Astyanax mexicanus: one gene and its partner. The protein of the gene in region 2 interacts with the protein of the main gene of each other region in a biochemical or structural test. Links are inferred from orthologs where the notes say so. Each region holds a gene or a part of one and is shown on either strand. Other genes may lie near its edges.

Region 1 (10,704 bases), on a different chromosome or scaffold from region 2:
TATACTGTTTTTGATTGACAGCAACACACCTTATACTGCTCACAATTTTTTATATAATATTTTCATATAACAAGATGGGTGCAGTCTGGATGATTTGCTTTCTGTATATATTTATATACAAAAAGTCAAACATTCAACCTAAAACAACTGAGGGTAAGAGACTGCAGTACAGTCAGTCAACAAATTTTTGAGCACATCACTGAAGCCAAAAATAGGAAAACTCTGAAATTACTCTGAAATCATCATGGCTATTATTCAAGACATCCAAGTCTTATATGTTGCAACATCTTACCATGTTCGAACAGGCACTGGCAAAGGTCATAAATTTGGGGTTGAACTGTAGGCAGGTGACTGGCCCTGTGTGTTTCCCATCCAACAGCGCCACCTTCATTCCACTCTCTGCGTTCCATACGTGGATCTTTCCATCCTCTGAACCTGGAGAACCATTATAAATACATATTTATAGTGTATGGTGATATCATCCCTGACCATACTAGGACAAATCCTCCAAACAAGAGTAACAACTTTAAAATACTACAAATTGTAGGCTATAGTTAACTTACCAATCATGACAAATTGAGAATCTGGGGTGAAGGAAGCTTCCAGAACTACACCTTTACTGTTGTTGTATCCCTACAAAAGCAAACCACACAAATGGACTTTACAGATGCAGCAAAGAGGTAACACACCAAGTGTTTCAATCAGGGATCAATCAGGGATCAGCGCCAGGCTTGAAAGCTCAGTGTCTTCAGGCACTATTATCTAGTATCACCATTTCCAATACTCTCCAAAACAGAACTCATTGAGAAAATAACGCACTTCTGAAAGCAGTAATTTAATGGATTAGGTTGGGTCAGTTGAGGCAGAAGCTAAAGTCTGCGGTACGCACCCCAAATGAATGTAGTATAGCTCCTTTGAATGCATCAAGCAGTCTGAGTGTTCCTCCATTGCTGGAGACCAGGATGAGTTTGCCATCATTGCTGAACTTCAGGCCAGTCCACTCACATGTGCGCTCATACTGCAACTTAAACGTAGCAAAAGGTCCCTAAAGAGGAGGAAAAAAGAAAAACATATATTCTATATCCCATAAACATACAAATTTATCAACAAATGCAAAATGAACAAAACACTGAAACTTAAAGAGCAGTTAATTTTCTAATGAGCTGCTTGTTTAAACATTCTTAAAATCTCTTATCTTAAATAAATTTTACTGTCAACACACTTTGTTTTACATTACAATAAATAATTTTGAGATAATCTGCTTGAATAAAAAAGTATATATATATATATATATATATATATATATATATATATATATATATATATATATATATATATATATATATATTTCTTACTTTGTCAAAGGAACGTAGGTCATAGAGTTTGACCATCTCAGAATTGACTCCAGCAGCAAAGATCAGGCCCTCAGGATCAAAAGAGCACACTGGCTTCCCCTGAAGGTGCATCAGTCCCTGTGACCACACAGAGGATTTTGAACAGTTTTAATAGAACATACAATAGAAAACAATCACCTATTTTTGCCTAAAAAAAACAAAAACAAACAAAACATTTAAAAAAAAATGGTATGAGGCTTACCTGACAGTTTGGGGAGCGAAGATCCCATAGCCGAATCGTTTTATCCAAGGAGCCAGAGATAAACGTGTCATCAACAGGGGACATAGAGAGTGCAACAACTCTGTAAAATTACAATGCACATATATAAATAAATTTTAATCCGTTCTTCAAGGCATTCTAAAACAAAAAACTTTAATTACTGGATTGTTTTACATGCATACTCTAAAAGGTCTTGAATAAATACACTTTCTATTACTCTACAATCCTTATATGCTCATCCACACTCCACTAAACTCAGTAATTAATAAATTTCCACAGCTATCTAAATCAACTTGAGTTTTCAATATATGCACAGCTTACAAATACTAATTATTGAATAAATGAGAAGAAATCTGTGTCTCTGCATACATTTGGCATACTTTACTTTGTGTTGTACAAAATAATAATAACTGCTGGAGAATATTAAACCCAAACAAGTAAAATGATTAAGAAGAGTGGAGGGAACATCATAAGACTCAAAGGAATTTCTAATGTTCAGACTGACATTTAGCTCACAGTTCATACATATAAAGGCCTTATTCTACAAGTTTTGGAAAGCAGAGAAATGGAACAGAATATGGCAGAATAAGAGCAGATTTTGTACTAAACATTGTGTCTGCACGCTACGCTACAATATTTTCCATTCCCCTTTAAGCAGAACAGTCCATTGACAAAAAAAGCAGCCTTAGCTCAGTATTGATGATCCTCACCTCTTATTGTGTCCGGGAAAGTAACGAATATACTTATTGTCGTGTAGAGACAGGTACCGTATAGTGTCTGTAATCAAGTAAAAGTGAAAAAAGTCAGAAACAGCTGCAAGTTTTTAATACTGTTACAGAGACTGCACATTCTTATAAAATTCAAAAACAGACGACATTAAGCTCTATTACGACCTCTGGCTGTGAAACTGAAAAAGCTAAGTGTGATCCACTATAGCAGTTCTGAAACTCCAGGTTGACTTTTAGATGAGTTGGCACCACCCTGGGCAAGGCAGTAGTCTGTACAGTTAGCTCCTTGAAAGGGCAGAATCACAGACCCTCAAACTGTACAAACAACTACCTCAAGCCAGAGAGGGCACAGTCAGGGAGCCCCGAACAATCGGTCAGTACAAGGACGACAGCGAGCTTGATTATACTTACCCTTTATACTCTTAACTGGGAAAAAACAAACAATACAATCACAAACAGGGGAAAGAGCACTAAACATATTGCGGGGGGAGCATTACTAACCAGAGGATTATCAATATGACAAGCAGAAAGTCACACTGAACAACAACACAACACACAAGTTCTTAAATGAATAAAACAACATACCATCAATTTTGTTGGAGCTGTAGACGACTGTATTGGCAGCATGTGTGTATCTGATGAGGTCCACTCCATACTTTTTACTGTACAGTGTCCGTTTAGGCCTGGATTTAAAGTTTGGGAAGAAAATATTCTGTTTAGGGGAATGACACAAACTACTGACTTTCCACTAAAAGTTAAATGTTTATATTAATTAAATCTACCCTGTTACAAAGTTATATTTTTTGTGATAAATTTTGCACATTTTGTCCTTGATTTTTCACAATACTGTTACTTGCACTTCTGAAAGATGCTAACTATGAGCAATGAGAAAGTTGAATATACCCATAACTGAAAGAACACAAGACTAGAGCTGGACATTGCATTACGTTGCATTACAAACAGCATAAGCAGTGTCAGATTCTTAAATATTGCTATACACGCTCAAGCATAGCCAAGTCGTTTTTGTCGTTCATTTTTTGTAGCACTTCATCTAGTTAATAGGAGTTAATTATGCTTCTTGTTATGACAGTGTTCTGTAAACAGTTAGTATCCTCGATATGCTTGAAAAAAAAAAGCATATTGTTATATTAGGGGTGTGCTATATTGTATAGTACACAATAGAATTTGGTCTTGAAAGCAGACTATTATTTATTTTGTCACTATTCTTTGTAGAATAATATTCTGCACCATTTATTTTGTCACTTTATTATCTTTTTAGAAAATCAAAGTTCTGGTAAGACATTTTTTTTTTACAAAAGAGACAAACAGTTGTAGATTTTTTGTTTGTGCTGACTGTTTAAAACCCTGATACAATAAAAATTAAACTTTTGACATTTGTGTCAAAATTATACTTCTTAGATTAATAAAATTTGTGTTCTTTATAGACAAGAATATTGTTGTCGTAAATATATTGTCATATTTTAGGGCCACATTGCTCACTCCTATTCCTTATCAATATGATCAAATATTGTCATTAAGGGTGTGTCATATCGTATCATATGCAATAATATGGACAACATTTTTGAATATCGTGAACAATAATGTACCCTTATATATCATGCCATATCACCCACCCCTAATTATCACATCAGGGTACTACATTTTTGCTGTTTTTAGCAAAAGAAAAATTCACACTGTTCTCATTTTCCCATTATATATCTACTTCAATATAATTCATTTTACTTCAGTCCTGGATATATGGAGCTATTTGGAGTGCATTATTAGTATCATGACATTCTGATAGATCTGATAAAACTCTTATATTTTTAATATTTCAGTTAGGGGTGTGTAATATCAAATTGTATGCATTAATACAATTGAAATTTTCATAAAAACATTTATTTATTCCGTGTTTTGTCATATCACTATCGCGAAAATACCATGAAACACCGTGATAATATTTTAGGGCCATATCGCCCACCTTTAGTGTTGGGCGCTAAGGCGGGTAAACAGAGCCGGAGAAGCGTGGATCTCAGCTAGCTTAGCTACACCCTGCAATCCCTCAACATTAGCCAGCTAGCTAACTCTTTACCTAGCTACTTAGCTTAGCCACTTAGCAAAATATCACACAGCTGTGATGAACCCGAGGGCTTTTATAAACAGATACACGCCCCGTCAACATTTAATCACTCCAGGCTTCCAATAGCACCAGATTTTCTTTCTGTTAGCAGGAACTCGTGGTCCGTCTAGCTAATCTACTCGAGGCCGAGGCTTTGTGCGGCAGTAGGCCTCACAGACCCACACTGCGGAAATCCGCGCACCGGGACGGGCTTCACACAGACCGCTCACTTACTTTCCCTCCTGGCAGTCGTACAGTACAATCGAGTCGTCGTCGCTGCTCGAGATCACCGTCTCTCCGTTCGAGCTGAAGTCGAAACAGTTGATTTTGTCGGAATTCTCCCGGAACACCTTCGCGACCCTGAAGCTCCGCAGAACATTGTCAGTGAGCTTCATGCTGGCGGCCTTGCTTTATGCCTGGCCAGGCGCAGGCTGCTCTCAGATTGCGGTCAGGGAGGACGGCTGTGTTCGGGGAGCGGTGGAGAAAGTGTTAGAGGGCTCTGTGTGGGTCTGTGAGGCTTGTGAATGGAAGCGGGTTGAGTTACGGGTTTCTGGCAGGTAAAGAAAAGCCCGCCCTGGCAGCGCTGCGGTGAACTCGGTAACGGAAGGTGTTTCCTACGGGTGGTGAAGTTGGAAGTCACTCCTTCTGCAAAATGGCCGATACGCTCACAGTAGTGGCATTTCATAATAAAAGTCCTGCTACTGGAAAAAAAATATATACTGAGCTTCTAAAACCAGTTCTTTAGTGGACCTAGAGAGGGCGCCGATTGGTCAAAAGAATGATAAATAAATAGTTACAAAACTTTTTTTTTATTTTAATTATCTAATATTATAAATTTATTACAATAAAATTTTATAATGAAGCTTTTTTATTTTTTTAACGTTAAAAAAAATCTAAATTAATGTCACGTCATTTGTTAACCGTACTTGCCTTCAAGAAGTGTCGGAAATATCGTATATCACATGAACTCCACCACAAACTCGTATTTACCAGTGAGAAACTCGGGTTTTTAGATAAGCCCCGAGTTTCCCCAGTTGGGAGCGTGTCAGTAACAAGTGGTCAATAAATTAAGTAAACTGATTTAAATTGATAAATAAATTCAATAAATTGATGCAGACACTTCGTATTGTAAACTGCTTAACACTCGAATACTTTGCAGGTTGTTATTAGCTAACCAATAAAATCACCAGCAGTATGTGAAAAAAACGTAAAGGGATTAAACCCAGTTAAAGACTATATTTTCCTTTTAATTGTAAATCTCAATTCCAGATGGTGTGTAATCCAAAACTAGATTTTATATCTGTCTAGGAAACTGCCCCCGTTTTTTTTTTTTTTGTCTCTGCCTTTATATTTAAAGGGATCTGCAAAATCATGTTGTGGGATGAAATGCTCATCAGAATATCCTAGCAGAATTGTACATAATGCATAAATAATTCCAGTCTGTGTCTGAAAGAAGTCCAACAACCTGCTTAATTAGAGTGGATGTGATGACCATTATAGACCATCATTAATAATGCTCGAGGTGAGAGAAGACCTAGAATGTCACATCGGTTCTTCAGCTAATACACAACTCTATTTCTGTAGGGTTGCTCAGCTGGGGACTATTTCACAAAGCAGGGATTCTTAGTAAGCCAGATAAACTAAGCCCTGAGTCAAGCCTGCCTAATGGCAGAAGAGCTGGAGAACATTTTCTACTGCATGTTATTCCACTATCTGAGTTAGCTTTGCAGAATACCCCTGAACACTTTTCACCAATATTTGTAATTGGAAGTTTCACACCTTGTATCCTCTGATTGTGAGTCATATAAATTGGAACATTATTAGTTGTACAAGCTGATCTCTCCAGTGTGTGATAAATACTGCACACAGACATCATAACCTCACTCTTATTCACAGCTATGAGGCTCCTAGCACTCACAGCAGCCTACAATAAAAGGGACTTTAAAGCCCTGAGGGAACTCAGTGCAATGCTCTAGGAGCTTGTGATGGGTTTTTTGTTTTTGAGTCAAAGCTTTTGTTTTTGTGTGTAAGGCACTAATGCGTCACTAGGCTGAATTTTACAGTACTTTTTTTTTTTTTTACCGTTTTAGGAATAGAAAAGCCTATCTGTTTTCCAACTACTTAAGAAAAATATCAGAATGTCAGAAGATTATCTAAAGGTGAGTTTTTTCATCTATGCTTGCTTATTGCTATATAGATCAGAGCTTGCTTGTACAGTCAACTTTTAACACTGGAAATACGATAAAAGAATGCAGCCACAAATTAAGTAGGCTAAGACAGCCAATAAACCTGTGTATTTACAGCAACAGGTGTTTTCTGTTATTGCATGCACTTAAGTAGCAGAGCTATGTTCATATCTGTTTTCTAAAGGAGGAAATGTGCACTCTTGGAGACACATACATGTTCACAGTGGACGTGAGTGCATTCTCGCCAGAACAAGTCATTGTTACCTCATCACAAAACATCATTCAGGTTTCTGCTGAAAAGGTAAGCAAAAGCATAGAGTAATCTAACACGTATTCTGTGTGATTCCATACCAAGAAAGATCAAGGATATTATTGTGAAACCCTTTGGAAATACATTTAAAAGTTCTTTATTTTGTTGCACTTGATAGAAGTCCTTCAATGAGAATGGGGTAGGATGCTGACACTAATTTGTAACATTAATATGTTGCTTATGTTTGAGTTATACTAAGTAAATAATATTTGCTATATAAATAATAAGCTTTGTAGTGCACAAATGGTGACTTTATTGCAAGTAATCGTGGAATTAAAACATTCCAAAACTACCATGTCACCACTTTTTACCATGAAAAACTATTTAGTAAAATATTTTATTTCATTAATTTACTGCTTAAAGAAGACATTAAGTGTTTAAAAAACTATAGATCAGAAGTATATATACAGTTTACTATACAACTTGAACATGAACCTATTAGTTAAATACATTTAGAAGACATACATTTTTGTCTCATTGTAATATTCTGCTTTTATTTCTCAGCTGGCATCAGATGGTACCGTCATAGACACATTTTTCCACAAATGGCAGTTTCCTCCAGATGCAGACCCCATGTCAGTGAGCTCATCCTTGGGGCAGGGTGGTGCACTTACAGTTACAGCTTTTAAACACAAGACAAAAGGTAAGAAAACATATTTTTGTCAATTTAAATTTTAATGCATGGATTTCTACCCTTGCAGAATATTTTTTTTCTTTCTCTATATGATTGCAGTTAAGTGATCCATACACCTTTATGATGGCCTTGACTGAAGACTGAAGAAAGGCACTTCAAATTATTCCAATAAATAATATAAACATTTTGAGATGCTTTATTTTAAATGCAACAACAATCAGTACATTAAAAAAGTGTGGTGACCAATGTTTGAACTACTTTAAGACAACTTTCTTATTGCTGTTGATGTAAAAATAGACTGTGCACATTGATGTATTAAAGATTCCCATAATCGATGGCAGAATGGGTTATGAAAGACTATATTGGTAACTATTGGTAAGTGTAAATGTAAAATCCAAATATGTAAATCTTTTGAAATAATAGTTTTTGTGATGTCACAAAGACAGTCACAAAAATACATATAGTATCTGTCAAAAGTTTCTCATTCAATGTTTTATTTTTTCCCCTACATTGTAAATACATACTGAAGTCATCCAGACTATTATGGATCACATAAGGAATCATGTATTAACTTAAAAGTGTTAAACAAAGCCTTTAGGTGGGATTCTGTTAACTTCTGAGGCTGGTAACTCTGATGAACTTATCCTGTGCAACAGAGGTAACTCTTGGTTTTCATTTCCTAGGGCAGTCCTGATGAGAGCCTCTTTTATCATAACATTTTTGATTTTTGATTTGTTTAACTTTTTTGTTTACTAAATAGTTACATATGTTCATCTTCATTGTTTGGATGATTTAAGTATTAATCTACAATGCAGAAAATTAAAAAAATGGAAAAAAACGCCACTGAATTTAAGGTTTGACTGTTATTGTATATTCACCTTTATATTTATATAGTTATATTTAACTGAAAGAAGTTTTACTCCACCCATAAGCACAGTAACAAAAATATTGTTGAAAAATGTACAAGAAATGTATACAATCATTTTTGTTTGGTAGAATATATGTCTTTTACCCCTAATTTAACAATGAATAAAGCACAATATCCAACTACACTAGCGTGACATCAGTGACTCGAACCTGAAAATCAGTAATGGTTATTCAGAAGTTGCACTTATAAACATTTACAAGCTAAACCTAGTTGTGGACAATATTTTGCTTCAAATTGAAAATCCCCGTAGTCAGTGTAGTCGACTAGGCTTGATCCCGGTCTGAGGAAACTGTCCCTTAGGGGTGTATCTTTACACTGTGTAAAGTTCTTTCTCCAGGTCCTTCAGCTTGTGATTTGAGATCTTGCACTGTGCTCTGTGATGTTAAACTGCACAGCTACACAATAACCTCTCGGTTCGTATCTTCTGGATGAGGCTGTGGGGGTAGAGAGGCAGATGAGGCGTGAATGCAGTCCTGATGCCACAGGTTTTCTGCTAAGGCATTTAGCAGGGGTGCAATCTCACCAAACCCTTCACTCACATCACCTCCCACCCGGAAGACTGGCACACGAGACACCTCCTGAAAGCGTTTGATCTCACTCTCTGTCACATCTGTGTGCATAAACAAGTCAAATCTGTTCAATCTGAGTTAAGGGCAATGCTTTTTTTTGAAGGTCAGATTCTTTTGGTCAGAGCTTCTTTCTTCCTTAGTTTTTGTACAGAAATTACTCAAGCAAACAAACATCAGCATAAGATGGAGGAAAAAAATATCTAGACTGATGGGTGTGAACAGAAACACACACTGTCAGTTCTCACAATATGATTGTTGTATTATTGCAATATGTTGCTCACAATAGCAAGGATATCAGAATACTGTGACTCAGCGATACTCGATATATATCGCAAGTCAATTCTCTATGACATTTTACATAATCTGTGCTACAGAACAGAATAAAATACTCCTAAATAATACTACTAATTAATGGTAAATAAAATGAATAAATTAATACAAATATTAATATTTTGCCACAAATCAGTGTATTGCAATATCAATCTTTTGTCCCACACTTACTCAGTCAGTACATACACTGAAATCGTTCAAACGTAAATCGTTAAAATGTCCACCTATCAGAAGTGATTGAAGGATACTTTGTACCAACCACCAGTCTGACAACCCTGTCCGAAGGATCTGTGAACCGAGACATCTGATTTGAGATGTCTTTAAAAGAGCCATGATCAGTGAAGGAGAAGAGGAAGAGTATGGCATCAACCTGTTCCTTGCAAGACTGTAGAAAAATTGTTGAAGAGCATTGTGGGCCTTAAAATATGCAAAACATGTCAAAGAGCAAGTATGTAAATCAGACTGTACTATTAAAGCTAGAAATAGAGAAACATGACAGCACTAATACAGAAAGAAGATAGAAAAGCGTTTTTTTGTCATGGTTTTTGATGGATGGAATTATATAAAACTTTGTACAACACACACTATTATTTTTATTATTTTGTACTTGTGGTGTGTTTTCTCATAGGGATGTATGAAGAATGTTTTTATAATTGTATACTAAAACAATACAGAAACCCTATTTGTTAAATAATTATAATTATATACAAAGTTATTCCATTTTAAAGGGTTACCAGATTCTTTGGCTGTTTAGAGGTAATAGAAAAACTTTAAAAACAGTTCTGTAAAGCCATTTCCAGTACTATATAGAAAATTTTTTACTGGATTAGATTTTACGCAAAATAGGCTTTTACCGTTAGCATATGGTCGAATCTACGCATCGCATTTTCACCACAATCCCAGAGCTGAAATTGAAAAAACAACACACGGCTGCTCTCTTTCAGCTTCACAGGCCAAAACACTATGGATGTCTCCATGCCTGTGGAGATCAGAGCAGAATTACTGTTACTGGAACCAAAGAAACTGCTGAAAATGTTGACTAAAAAGTGTCTTAATCTATAGTAATTTATTCAAGATATTTAGGGTCCGGCACTACAGCAGTAAATTCACTATAAACATGAACCTAGACTACCTGCAAATAATTATTTAAAGGTGTAGTGTCCAGTAGAATCATATTTACCTGTGGTTTCATAGTGCATGTTTGGAATTTGATGTCCAGCGAGTCGAGCAGCCAGTGCAGTCTTCCCCACACCACTCTTTCCTGAGATGAACACTTTGTAACGAAC
Region 2 (10,979 bases):
TAATCCTGCAATCCTAAATTAATGAAAACAATTTGAAAATGAAATAGTTATTGGCTGATCAGGTACATCAGGGCAAGTTAAACATATTTAGTTTTATTTTCTAAGACCTTGATCTGTGTCTTTTGATTCAGAGACAAGTCTTTTTAACCAGCTATCAGAAACATCACAGTTTACATGGTTAGTTCAGTTACCTTTCTTTTGGAAAAATCGCTGTATATCCAGATATGTTTTAACATCAACGCTAGGGGTCACGATTCTCTAAATCCTCGATTCGATTTTATTTCCGATTTTAGGGTCACAATTCGATTTGATTCTCGTTTTTCTTTTCTTTTTTTACAGCAGAGAGGCCTATGCCAGTTTTAGATTAGTCTATGGTCAGTCATTGGTTTGATTAATCAAATTTACAATATCTTATTTCAAAAGGTGGGCTTGATATAAGTGATGCAAAGTGATACAAGTGATCTGTAATACACCACATTAGGCACTAATGGTCAAATTTAATTAAGATATATATGTAGTGCCATCTAGTGGCTTTTTTGGTAGCAGCATTGTGCAATACGGTGGCCGAGAAAGCCCAGCGCAGTGCAAATTGAAAAGCGCTGCAAAAGCACAAAACACATCCATCAAAATTACAACACAGGCGCAGCAAATAGAAAAACGCGCTGCAAAAAGAAAAACGCGCTGCAAATACAACCACAACACAACGGAAGTGAGTCACAACACAACGGAATTTTCCCGGGGGGACCTTAAAAGATGCTGTACCAGCTGTATACAAAGGACAATATGTGGCAAACAAGCTTCTGAAAGTAAGTTATGTTTATTACCTGTGATTACCACGGTTGTGTGCATATTATTAAAAGTTCTGCTTCACAAAACGCCTTGTTTGCCACTTATTGTCCTTTGTACACATAGTGAAGTCCCAGACGTTACTGAAGACGCAGCTTAGCTGGTACAGCATCTTTTAAGGTCCCCCGGGAAAATTCCGTTGTGTTGTGACTCACTTCCGTTGTGTTGTGGTTCTAGTTGCAGCGCGTTTTTCTGTGTTGTAATTTTGATGGATGTGTTTTGTGCTTTTGCAGCGCTTTTCAATTTGCACTGCGTTGGGCTTTCTCGGCCACCGTAGTGCAACATAAAATAAATAATAAAAAAATACAGGAACAGTCATGTAAAAAAATTGATTTTAGAGCCTTAACAAACTGAACTCTATCCTACTATAACAGTTAAACATGAAAAATAAGACTTTAAGACTTTTTTGGTGCCTGAGAATGACAAGTTCTTTTCTTTGACAAAGATATATTATTATTAACTTTATCTGAGAGAAAGATGCTCCTTAAGGTACCAAAACTATTAACATTTTTGAGGATAGACAAAACAACTGTTATTTTTATATTTTCAAATTTTTTCTTCAAGAAGATGAGAATGTCCACATTCTCTGGAGAAAGAGCTGCTCTTTGAGCAGTCACAATGTCCGTGGCGTCGGCTACAGTGTGCTGAGCCATTTGCGTAGCATGCTGCACCATTTGCGTAGCGCATGCGCGTGCTTGAGTAGCTTAGAGGGAGGGATCGTCGATCCTCTTTTTGACTTCGAGGCTCGAGACCATGACATAATTTCGATCGATTTTGATGAAATATCGAAATCGTGACACCTCTAATCAGCGCTGAAACCTGGTGCAAGAACTCAAAAACCCTCAAAAATCCTCCCCAGCGAGGCGGTGGGGTTGCTGGGGTGGGGGCTTCCCTACTAGCCCACCACGCTCCGCAAAACCAGCAAGCTGATTGGCTTTTTCTCCTGAAAGGCGTAACTTTATCCTTGAACTGGCTCCGTGATTCGCGTCAAGAGACAGCGGCCTGTCTCCTCACTAATAATACAGCTGAGCTAATGTTAGCACAAGCTAACATTAACATGTGGTAAACACTTAGCATAAACATGGGGCTGCCAGCAACAGCTTATTTGCATAAAAGTAACAGAGCCCTTAAACAGTTCATTCTGAAAGGGACTGAAACTGGCAAGAACAAATCTGGTGAGATGTTTTTATGTAAGAGTGATTTTGTTCAAATAACTCAATGAAAATGTTTTGTATTTTCTATAGACCTATTCTAACTTGTGTAAAAAGAGGTATAATGTCACTTTAACATTCTGAGTAATTTTTAAGAGTGATCTGCAGTTCTAGACATACTCAAATGATCATAAACACTGTGCAAATCTTCAATGGTTGGGCACTTCTTGAAGACTGAGGATAAATCTCAGTTGTCTTCCTACTACTTTTGTACATCACTGTGTAAGCCGAGAAGTAAAAATGAATTAAATGACAAACACAGCTCTGAAAAAAAAAAGATTGAATTTTTGCACCAGGAGTGGCATAAAGTTATCCAAAAGCAGTATGAAAGACTAGTGGAGAACATGCCATGCATAATGATTAAAACCAGGGTTATTCCACCAAATATTAATTTCCGAACTCTTAAATCTGTATGAATATAAACTTGCTTTCTTTGCATTATTTGAGGCCTGAAAGCTCTGCATGTTTTTGTTATTTCAGGCATTTCTCATTTTCTGCAAATAAATGCTCTAAAAGACAATATTTTTTTTTGGAATTTGGGAGAAATGTTGGTCGTAGTTTATAGAATAAAACAACAATGTTAATTTTACTCAAACATATACCTATAAATAGCAAAATCAGAGAAACTGATTCAGAAACTGAAGTATGAAGTCTCCTAATTTTTTTCTAAAGTGTTATATACTTATATACAAGTGATGCAACTTTTCAGTGTATGACCCTAATAGAACACTATGTATAAAATATATAGGTTGTAAATCTACTTGTGTTACATTTAATGAGATCAGCCATAACATTAACACCACTGAGCTGGTGAAATGAATTACAGTTCCATTTTTCCCCTCTTTGGTATAGTGAAAAAGAAATGGAATTTCATTCAGGTTTTCAAGTTTTTATTTTTTCCCCTGATAAAATGAAAAAGAAAATAATAATAATATCCTGTCTTTCTCTCCAATCTAATAGTTAAATAACTACATTTTCTTATTACAAGATGCAAAAACAAAATAGAGAGTAAAATAAAGATTCTTTTTTTCCGTTTTCCGTGTAAGATTGGAAGGGCATGAATTAAAAACTTATAAAGAAAACAGGTGTATTGAGCTACTTTGTTTATTTTTGTTGTTGATTGTTGTAGTTCCACAATAAAACACTAGATGGAGGCACTAACTTAACCCTCTGCAATGACACGGCGTGCTGTTTAATGCACTACACTGAAAAGTCTCCTTTATTGGATAATTTAGCCAGTTATTAAGCTATTTCCATTTAGTAGTTTTGGTAATCGTTATTATTTAATGTGAAAGTGCCATAATATCGATTAGAACGTTACTAAAATAGGGCTATTCACTGTATACCAACTCTACCACAGCTGTATACTGTTGTATATCTGTATACCAATACTACTACCACAGCACAAGAAAATCCAGCCAAGATGTACAAAGCTGTCATCTAGGTAAGAGATGCTACTTTAAAGACTCTAAAATACAAAACATATTCTGGTTGGTTTAACACTTTTTGTTTATACCATCATGTTTGAAATGAGTTGAATGTTCTATTGTAAATAAAATACGAAATATATCATCTGGTCAGTTTTAATAGCAGCATATTACTTAAATGTTCTGGGGTAAACTTTTGCTCCTCTGTTCTAAACAATCCGGTTTATTATAAAATATTTTGATTAGTACACATTACCACATGTTATGGGATATTCTGGTACTGCAGATAGAGTTACTGTAGAACCTCACTATGACTTACTGTGCTACTGTGATTTATTATGCACTTCATCCTCAAAGGAAGTTGCCAATAAATCCTGCTCCACAGTGTTCCTGGAAAGATTAAACCAGATAAAGACGTAAATGGCTTGTGTCTGATGTCTGAGATGCTCTCCAGTTCTCTAAATGGAGAGATGATTTCGTTTGTTTAGACGATTATTTCTGTCTGCAAACTAAGTCTCTACTCAAAGCCTTAACGTATTTATTAAATCCTAGTAAATAACCAGTGAAAGATGAGACTAGTTGCCAAAAAAAAAAAATAAACGCCAAATATCATCAGTAAGTGAGATCATACATTTGGCACATCTTCTTGTCCTATATCCAACCAGGCCTTGAGCCAGCAGCAGCATCTGGAACTCTTATGTTGTGCCAGTGGTGTGAAGATTACAGATTTACAGATTTGTTTTTGTTGTTGTTTTTTTTTGTAATACTTACATTAATATCAGACAAGTAACCTAAGTAAATATAAAAAGTACTTTTTTAATTATGATTTAATTTATTAAGGGGAAAAAAAATCTAAATCTAGCCCCTGAACAAGCCCGTCATAAATTAACCTTGATTAATCACACTTTTTGTAAAGCTGAGTTCAATTTCTCTAACCACAACCAAGACTGATTACCACCAGACCTGTAGAATCAAGAACTTACTTTCTGACAACATGAAGCTAAAAGCAACACATTATGCTGTGATCTAAAGAAATTCCAAAACAGATGAGAAAACAAAGTCATTGATCATTTATCAGTCTGGACAATGTTGTAAAGTAATTTCTAAGGTTTTGGGACTCCAGTGAACCACAACGAGAGATATTATTCACAAACTGGGAAAATATGAATCTCTGGTGAATCTTCAGGAGTGGCCGGCTGACCGAAATTATTCCAAAAGGGCATGGACAACTCATCTAGGAGGTCACAAAGCGTCAGCGGTAATGATGGAATAATAAAAAAGTGACTGGTCAAAAATGGTAACCATGGTAAAACTTACAATTAATTTCACAAAAAACATAATTCTGAACATAAAGCATAGTGGTGGTAGTGTGATGGTCTGGGGCTGCTTTGCTGCTTTGACCTGGACAGCTTGCTGTAATAGATGGAACCAGGAATTCTGCTGTTTACTAGACAATCCTGAAGGAAAGTATCACAAAAAAGCAAAAACAAAAGAAATCTGTAGGGAGGCAAATACTTTTTATACTGTATACACAGTGTCAATACTGTCCAAAAATGGCTTCTACTAGATGTTGGAGCATTGCTGTAAAATTCTAATACTAACAAAGATATTCTGAATTCTCTATTTTCAGACAGTTACTTTGCTGAGCACTCCATAAATAAAAATCGAGGCAGATCATTAAATGTTAAAACATTACAGTTTTATTTAATATTAATACATCTTCTGAAGAGTATGTTTTCATAGTATGTAAAGATGAAAGGACTCCTAACATTATTGCATTTACTGTGGCTAATTTTTACTTTTAATATTTTATTGTTTCAGTCAGCTATACAGTACCAGTAAAAAAATTACACAAATTGAATACAGTGGTATTATAGTGGTATAATCCATATTATGTCAAAAACTAGACCAACAACCTTATGAAACTTGCTCTCATTAGAAGTGCCAGAGCAAGAGAGGAGCAAGAGTTACAGTATATCCGGAAAGTATTCACAGCGCTTCACTTTTTATTACGTAACAGCGTTATTCCAAATTGTATTACATTAATCTTTCCTCAAAATTCTACACAAAATACCCCATTACGACCATGTGAAAAAAAGTTTTCTTGAGAGTTTTGGAAATGTATTAAAATAAAAAAATAAAAAAAGAAATCATATTTACATAAGTATTCACAGCCTTTGCTTAATACTTTTTAGAACCACATTTGGCAGCAAATACAGCCTCAAGTCTTTTTGAATATGATGCCACAAGCTTGGCACACCTCTCTTTAGGCAGTTTTGCCCATTCTTCTTTGCAGTACCTCTGAAGCTCCATCAGGTTGGATGGGAGACATCTGTGCACAGCCATTTTCAGATCTCTCCAGAGATGTTCAATCAGATTCAAGTCTGGGCTCTGGCTGGGCCACTCCAAGACATTCATATAGTGGTCCTGAAGCCACTCTTTTGAGATCTTGGCTGTGTGCTTCGGATCGTTGTCCTGCTGAAAATTGAACTGCCACCCCAGTCAAGAGCGCTCTGGAGTTCTGGTTTTCATCCCGGATGTCTCTGTACATTGCTGCATTCATCTTTCCTGACTAGTATGCCAGTTCCTGCTGCTGAAAAACATCGCATTGCATGATGCTGCCACCACCATGCTTGACTGTAGGGATGGTATTGGCCTCGTGATGAGCAGTGCCTGGTTTCCTCCAAAATCTTATTCCATGTTTGGTTTGCATTTTTATTTAGATAAAATAAATATTAATGATATAATTGTAATTTTTATTAATTGTAATTAATTGTGTATAATTCATTTTAAGTTTATATACAAATTATCTAGCTTACATGACGTTATAATTGTTGTTTGTTTGTTTTCAGCTTTTTGTCTGTTTGTTTATTTTTGTTGGTTTGTTTGTAGCTGTTTATTTTGTTTGTTAAATGGCTGTTTATTTTGTTTGTTCATTTATATCTGTCGTTTGTTTGTTTATACTTGCATATTTTCTTTACATATGTTTATTTTGTTTGTTTGTTTTATGGCTGTTTAATTTGTTTATATATATTTGTTTTGTTTTGTTTTGTTTGTTTTGATGCACTTGGCCGAGGCTTCACCTTCACCCTCCCGCCTGACTCCCTAGTGACGTCTTTAGCAAGTAAACGGCAGATTCGCCAATTTAAGACACACATTGCTAGCTCGTCAGATAGAAAAAAATATATAGCTGCGTCAGAGGATGAAGCGTGTTGTATTGTTTACTGTAAATTAAAACACGGATCGTTTGATTCATGTTTTAATAATTTAGCGCTTTCATTAAGTTCGCTAGCCGGCAAAGATAGGCAGATCCTGTGCGGAAAGTGCTTGAGCCGAATCAAAGGAATGTTGTTCTTGTGACGAATGGCGGACAGGCGAGGCTCTCAGGTTGGTTGCGCGATGGCCGCTGTGTGTTTAACCCCGATTATTTCCTCAAAACAGCGCTTTTAGGTGGAATATGGCGCTTTAAAATGTCTCGAAGCGGCACCGGAACGCGGGCAGCACCTCTCGAGGCCGGGCAGCGCGGCCCCGGAGTGGAAAATACGCCGCTTTTTGGCTCCGCGGGTCTCCGGGAGTCTGGTTCGCTGTAGCGGCCTGCCGAGCGGCTAGTTAGCACATTAGCTTAGCATGCTAGCTATCTTGTTTAGCGGCATTGTGGCGGACGTTTTTAGCTTGTTAGCGCTTTAGCTAAGTGCAGGTGACCGCTCGTAGCTGCGTTGGAGGCTCTAAAAGAGGGATAAAAGACTTTAGCAGACGGGAGCCTCTGTTTTAGTGCTCGGATAAATTCGCCGCGGAGACGGAGGGTAAAACGAGTTTAGTTTGAAATCTGGGGTTATTAGCTACAGTTCATAGCGTTTCTCCTAACCTAGCGGTATCTACTCTGCAGGCAGCCCACAGTTTTAGTGTTTATACTGTTATAACCATGTGGATATGAGTGCAGGTTGCCGGTAAAAGTCGTTAGCTATGTAAAATCGGCTGTTCTTTCAAGTAGTGTTGAAATATTGTTAAAAACAGGACTCAGTTTATGAGGGATATGATTAGCTGCTATTGTTGCAACTGTGCAACTATGCGTGCAGCATCACAACAAAAACCTGATTAACTCCTCTTAGACTCATCTCCAACAGCAACAAGAGACAATAGCATAGGGAAGATGATCAGGAGAGGGCTTGAGCAAGGATTGCATACAGCCCTTGGTCATCATCTGACCTACTCTTTAGGTTGACTATTTCTAATTCTTTCCCTAAGAACAAAAAAGAGAGTTTGGAAAGCTTAAGCTGGATGACCAACATAACCATCATGTCCAAGTTTGTTTACCAGACTAACCTATGTAATGCCGATTGAACTAAATATTGTAAGGATGCATGATAATATTGAAGTTATGTCAGTATAGGTTGATACTGTTTTTTGAATCAGCAGCATTCAGTGATATTAATATGACCAATACTTCGAACCGATACTTGCTGACTTTCTGTATTTATTGTAAGGCAGCAAAGGTCTAAGTGATGCTGGCCATGCTAATAAAATTGACACACACTGACAGAGATTCTTTAAAATGATTTGATTTATGTATTTTTTTTTTTTTAGTTTTTTAAAGTTATACCAGTGTGTTGAGTCTCTCTGTAAGTAATAAAATGTGTATCCTCTTCAGCAAATTTATATATAGTATATAAGTCTGATTTCCCACATCGGTGCATCCCTACCATTGTGCCATTTGTGCCTTTGCCGTTGTGTCCTGTGAATTTCATTCACCATTCTTATTTTCTCTGCAGTAATAGCATGGATCCAGATAGTGGGGCGGACACCCAGCGAGCTCTCAGTCTGCAATGGAAGAGCTACAAACTTGTACAGGACCCTGCCATTCGCAGGGTCGCTCAGAAGATCTACAGATACGATGGGATTCACTTCAGTGTGCCGGTATATGCTTTTTTTATATAGTTGGTTTGTGATGGTAGACGCCGCAGTCAGCAAGAAAATAACTAAAATCAGGGCATTTAAGGGTAATGTATTACTTGTCAGCAAGCTAATTCTGAGGCCTCTGAGTCATTTTGTGAACATCTGTTTCAATGCTTTCAGTTGAAATGTGTTAAGTGACTCACCATGCATTAAAATATTTTAATTTATTTATTGGACATTTGTGTTGGATTTAATAAGACGGATATACCTTTAGCTTTTACACAATACTGGGAATCTTCATTCTTGGAGATCTACCAGCCTTGCCCTCTTAAGTTTAGCTGTGGTACACCTGGTTTTAATATTTATATGCTGCAGCTGAAGGCCTTTATCAACAGGATCATAAGTGTTGGACATAAACTAGTAGAAATAAATGCTTTGTTTCTTTGTCATGCTAATCCAAGGTAATTTAGTCTCAATTTCAACATTTTATAAATGTTAGTAAATCATCACTGACATGCATATCAAATTTTGGATATCTGCTTCAGCCCATAATTCCGCTTAAGTTAATATCAAGATTTTATAGGTAGTCAAATAGGTAGTCTGTATGCCGTTATGCTTATTCAGGCCATGCAGTTTTAAGTGCATGTGTTTGTCAGTTTTTAGCACTAAATAAATATTGATATTGTACATAACAGCAAAATCTGGTTTGTACTATTAGCACTGCTTATGTTAAAATTGAGGCTATATTTTTGGAATACTTATAACTACATGATTCCTTATTAAGCGATTAATATTCATTAAATTATTTTCTAACCCTTAGGACGCAGGGTTCCCACCTGTGGGGGAGTTACGTGACCCTCGGCCCCGAAGGATATGGTCCAGGCACACGGAGCTGTCGCTTCCCGTGCCCAAATTTAAGGTATGTTTTTAATGTCAGTCTTTTTTTCTCATATTTGCAACCTGTGAGTGAAAATGTTCCACATCAATTCTTGTTTTCTCTAGAGTACATTTTTATACATATTTTGGCTGAATTGTTTTGCTCTTCTTGCTTGAGTGCACCTGAACAAATTCTTAACATTTCATAAGTAATTGTCTCAGTCTGAAGGCCTGTTTTCTGCAAGGATCTTTAGAGACAGGAAATTTTAACTTTTGAACAGACTGAGGTCTGGTTGAGTCTTTTTGGCTCTGGTGGCTGTTATCGCTTTTTGGTCAGCAGAGAGTTAAAACAGGCCTTTTGGTGGGCATTGTTTGCTATAGCTAATGCTGAATGCACACTACATAATTGTGGGCATGATTTTCCTGTCATGGACAAATGTTGGAGATGTGCAACAAAAGCTTGGAGGTAAATATTCAGGTATGTTTAAGAGCTCTTTCTGATGCATCTTGAAATGTGAGCAGTAGGAACCACAATAAGATAAGCCGATCTGAGCAAAGACCAAACTCTCAAGGACTGAGAACAACACTACAATTGGTAAAGGAGAAATATTGAAGCATAAGGCATTAATTTTAATGATTGTTTTTTTTTATTTGGGTTTGGGTGAAAATGTAGTAAAAGGTATTGGTCTGACTCAGTGGTCTGTAAAGTGGTCCCTTTACGAATATTTTGCAGCACAGATCTTAATTTTTTATGTAATTTGTGGAAGCAGTTGGATAACCTTCCAGGACAATATAATTGTGGAGAAATTCTGCAAATAAATATGCACTTTATGATAATACTCACTCAGTTAATGTTGTGCGTAATTGACATGATGTAAATAAATAAGGATAAAAAATCGGTCCAGTGCAGAGCTCTAGTAGAGGGTAATAAGTCTGAAGCTTTGAGCAGACCTCTTCTGCTTGCAGTTTTACCTCCTCCTAATGGAGTTTTCCTCTGTGTTTTTCTTTTCCAACAGTTGGATGAGTACTACGTGGGTCCTATTCCATTGAAGGAGGTGACGTTTGCCCGGCTAAACGATAACATCAAGGAACCTTTCTTGTTAGAGATGTGCAACAAATTTGGGGAGGTGGAAGAAATGGAGATCTTGTTTCACCCGAAGACCCGGAAGCACTTGGGCCTGGCCCGTGTACTCTTCACCAGCACCAGAGGGGCCAAAGACACAGTCAAACACCTGCACAACACCTCTGTTATGGGCAACATTGTCCATGCCCAGCTAGACATCAAAGGTACAGACTAAGGCTGTAAGATAAACCTCATTTTTTTGGTATCGCCTCTGCTTGATTGTTCGTGATAACCACAGAAAAAGCTGTAATATATGTGTGAAGAACAGAAAACTTCATACTGCATACTGTTAATACATGATATAACAGGGTGACGTAGAGGTCCACAGTGAATCTGCTCGCTTAGGTTGGAAGAATTAGCCTGTGAACGCAGCCTTGTCTAGGGATTCAATTCCTGCTTTCTCTTTGGTTTTTAAACTGAAGCCTACTGAAATTGAAACTGAAAATGTGCCTCTTTGGGGTCTGGAGTAATTTTCATATGTGTTTGGAGGTTCATGTTTCAGGGTTGCTAAAAATGTGGCTTGATAATGTGTCATTCACCTGTTTGTAGTGTATTTTTAATTTATGTTTTCTTTGAAACATGTTCAGAATTCAGACTTTAAAA

Evidence for each region.
Region 1: the proteins of setd1a (region 2) and wdr82 form a complex in vitro, tested with the Homo sapiens proteins (2 studies listed by BioGRID). The link is inferred for Astyanax mexicanus from reciprocal best matches to the Homo sapiens genes SETD1A and WDR82.

What each region holds. Positions count from the first base shown.
Region 1 is NC_064412.1:15,874,451-15,885,154, forward strand, and holds the start of wdr82 (WD repeat-containing protein 82), read right to left. Parts: upstream 5,105-10,704; 5' UTR 4,857-5,104; coding exon 4,696-4,856; intron 3,026-4,695; coding exon 2,928-3,025; intron 2,392-2,927; coding exon 2,325-2,391; intron 1,697-2,324; coding exon 1,597-1,696; intron 1,473-1,596; coding exon 1,356-1,472; intron 1,046-1,355; coding exon 890-1,045; intron 634-889; coding exon 564-633; intron 436-563; coding exon 293-435; intron 1-292. Other genes in the region: heat shock protein beta-7, read left to right, coding at 6,600-6,620, 6,832-6,948, 7,462-7,600, 7,691-7,698; cplane2 (ciliogenesis and planar polarity effector 2), read right to left, coding at 8,915-9,152, 9,667-9,803, 10,273-10,397, 10,599-10,704. UniProt on the Homo sapiens protein: Regulatory component of the SET1/COMPASS complex implicated in the tethering of this complex to transcriptional start sites of active genes.
Region 2 is NC_064426.1:19,729,024-19,740,002, reverse strand, and holds the start of setd1a (histone-lysine N-methyltransferase SETD1A), read left to right. Parts: upstream 1-6,651; 5' UTR 6,652-6,871; intron 6,872-8,253; 5' UTR 8,254-8,260; coding exon 8,261-8,398; intron 8,399-9,197; coding exon 9,198-9,296; intron 9,297-10,269; coding exon 10,270-10,540; intron 10,541-10,979. UniProt on the Homo sapiens protein: Histone methyltransferase that catalyzes methyl group transfer from S-adenosyl-L-methionine to the epsilon-amino group of 'Lys-4' of histone H3 (H3K4) via a non-processive mechanism.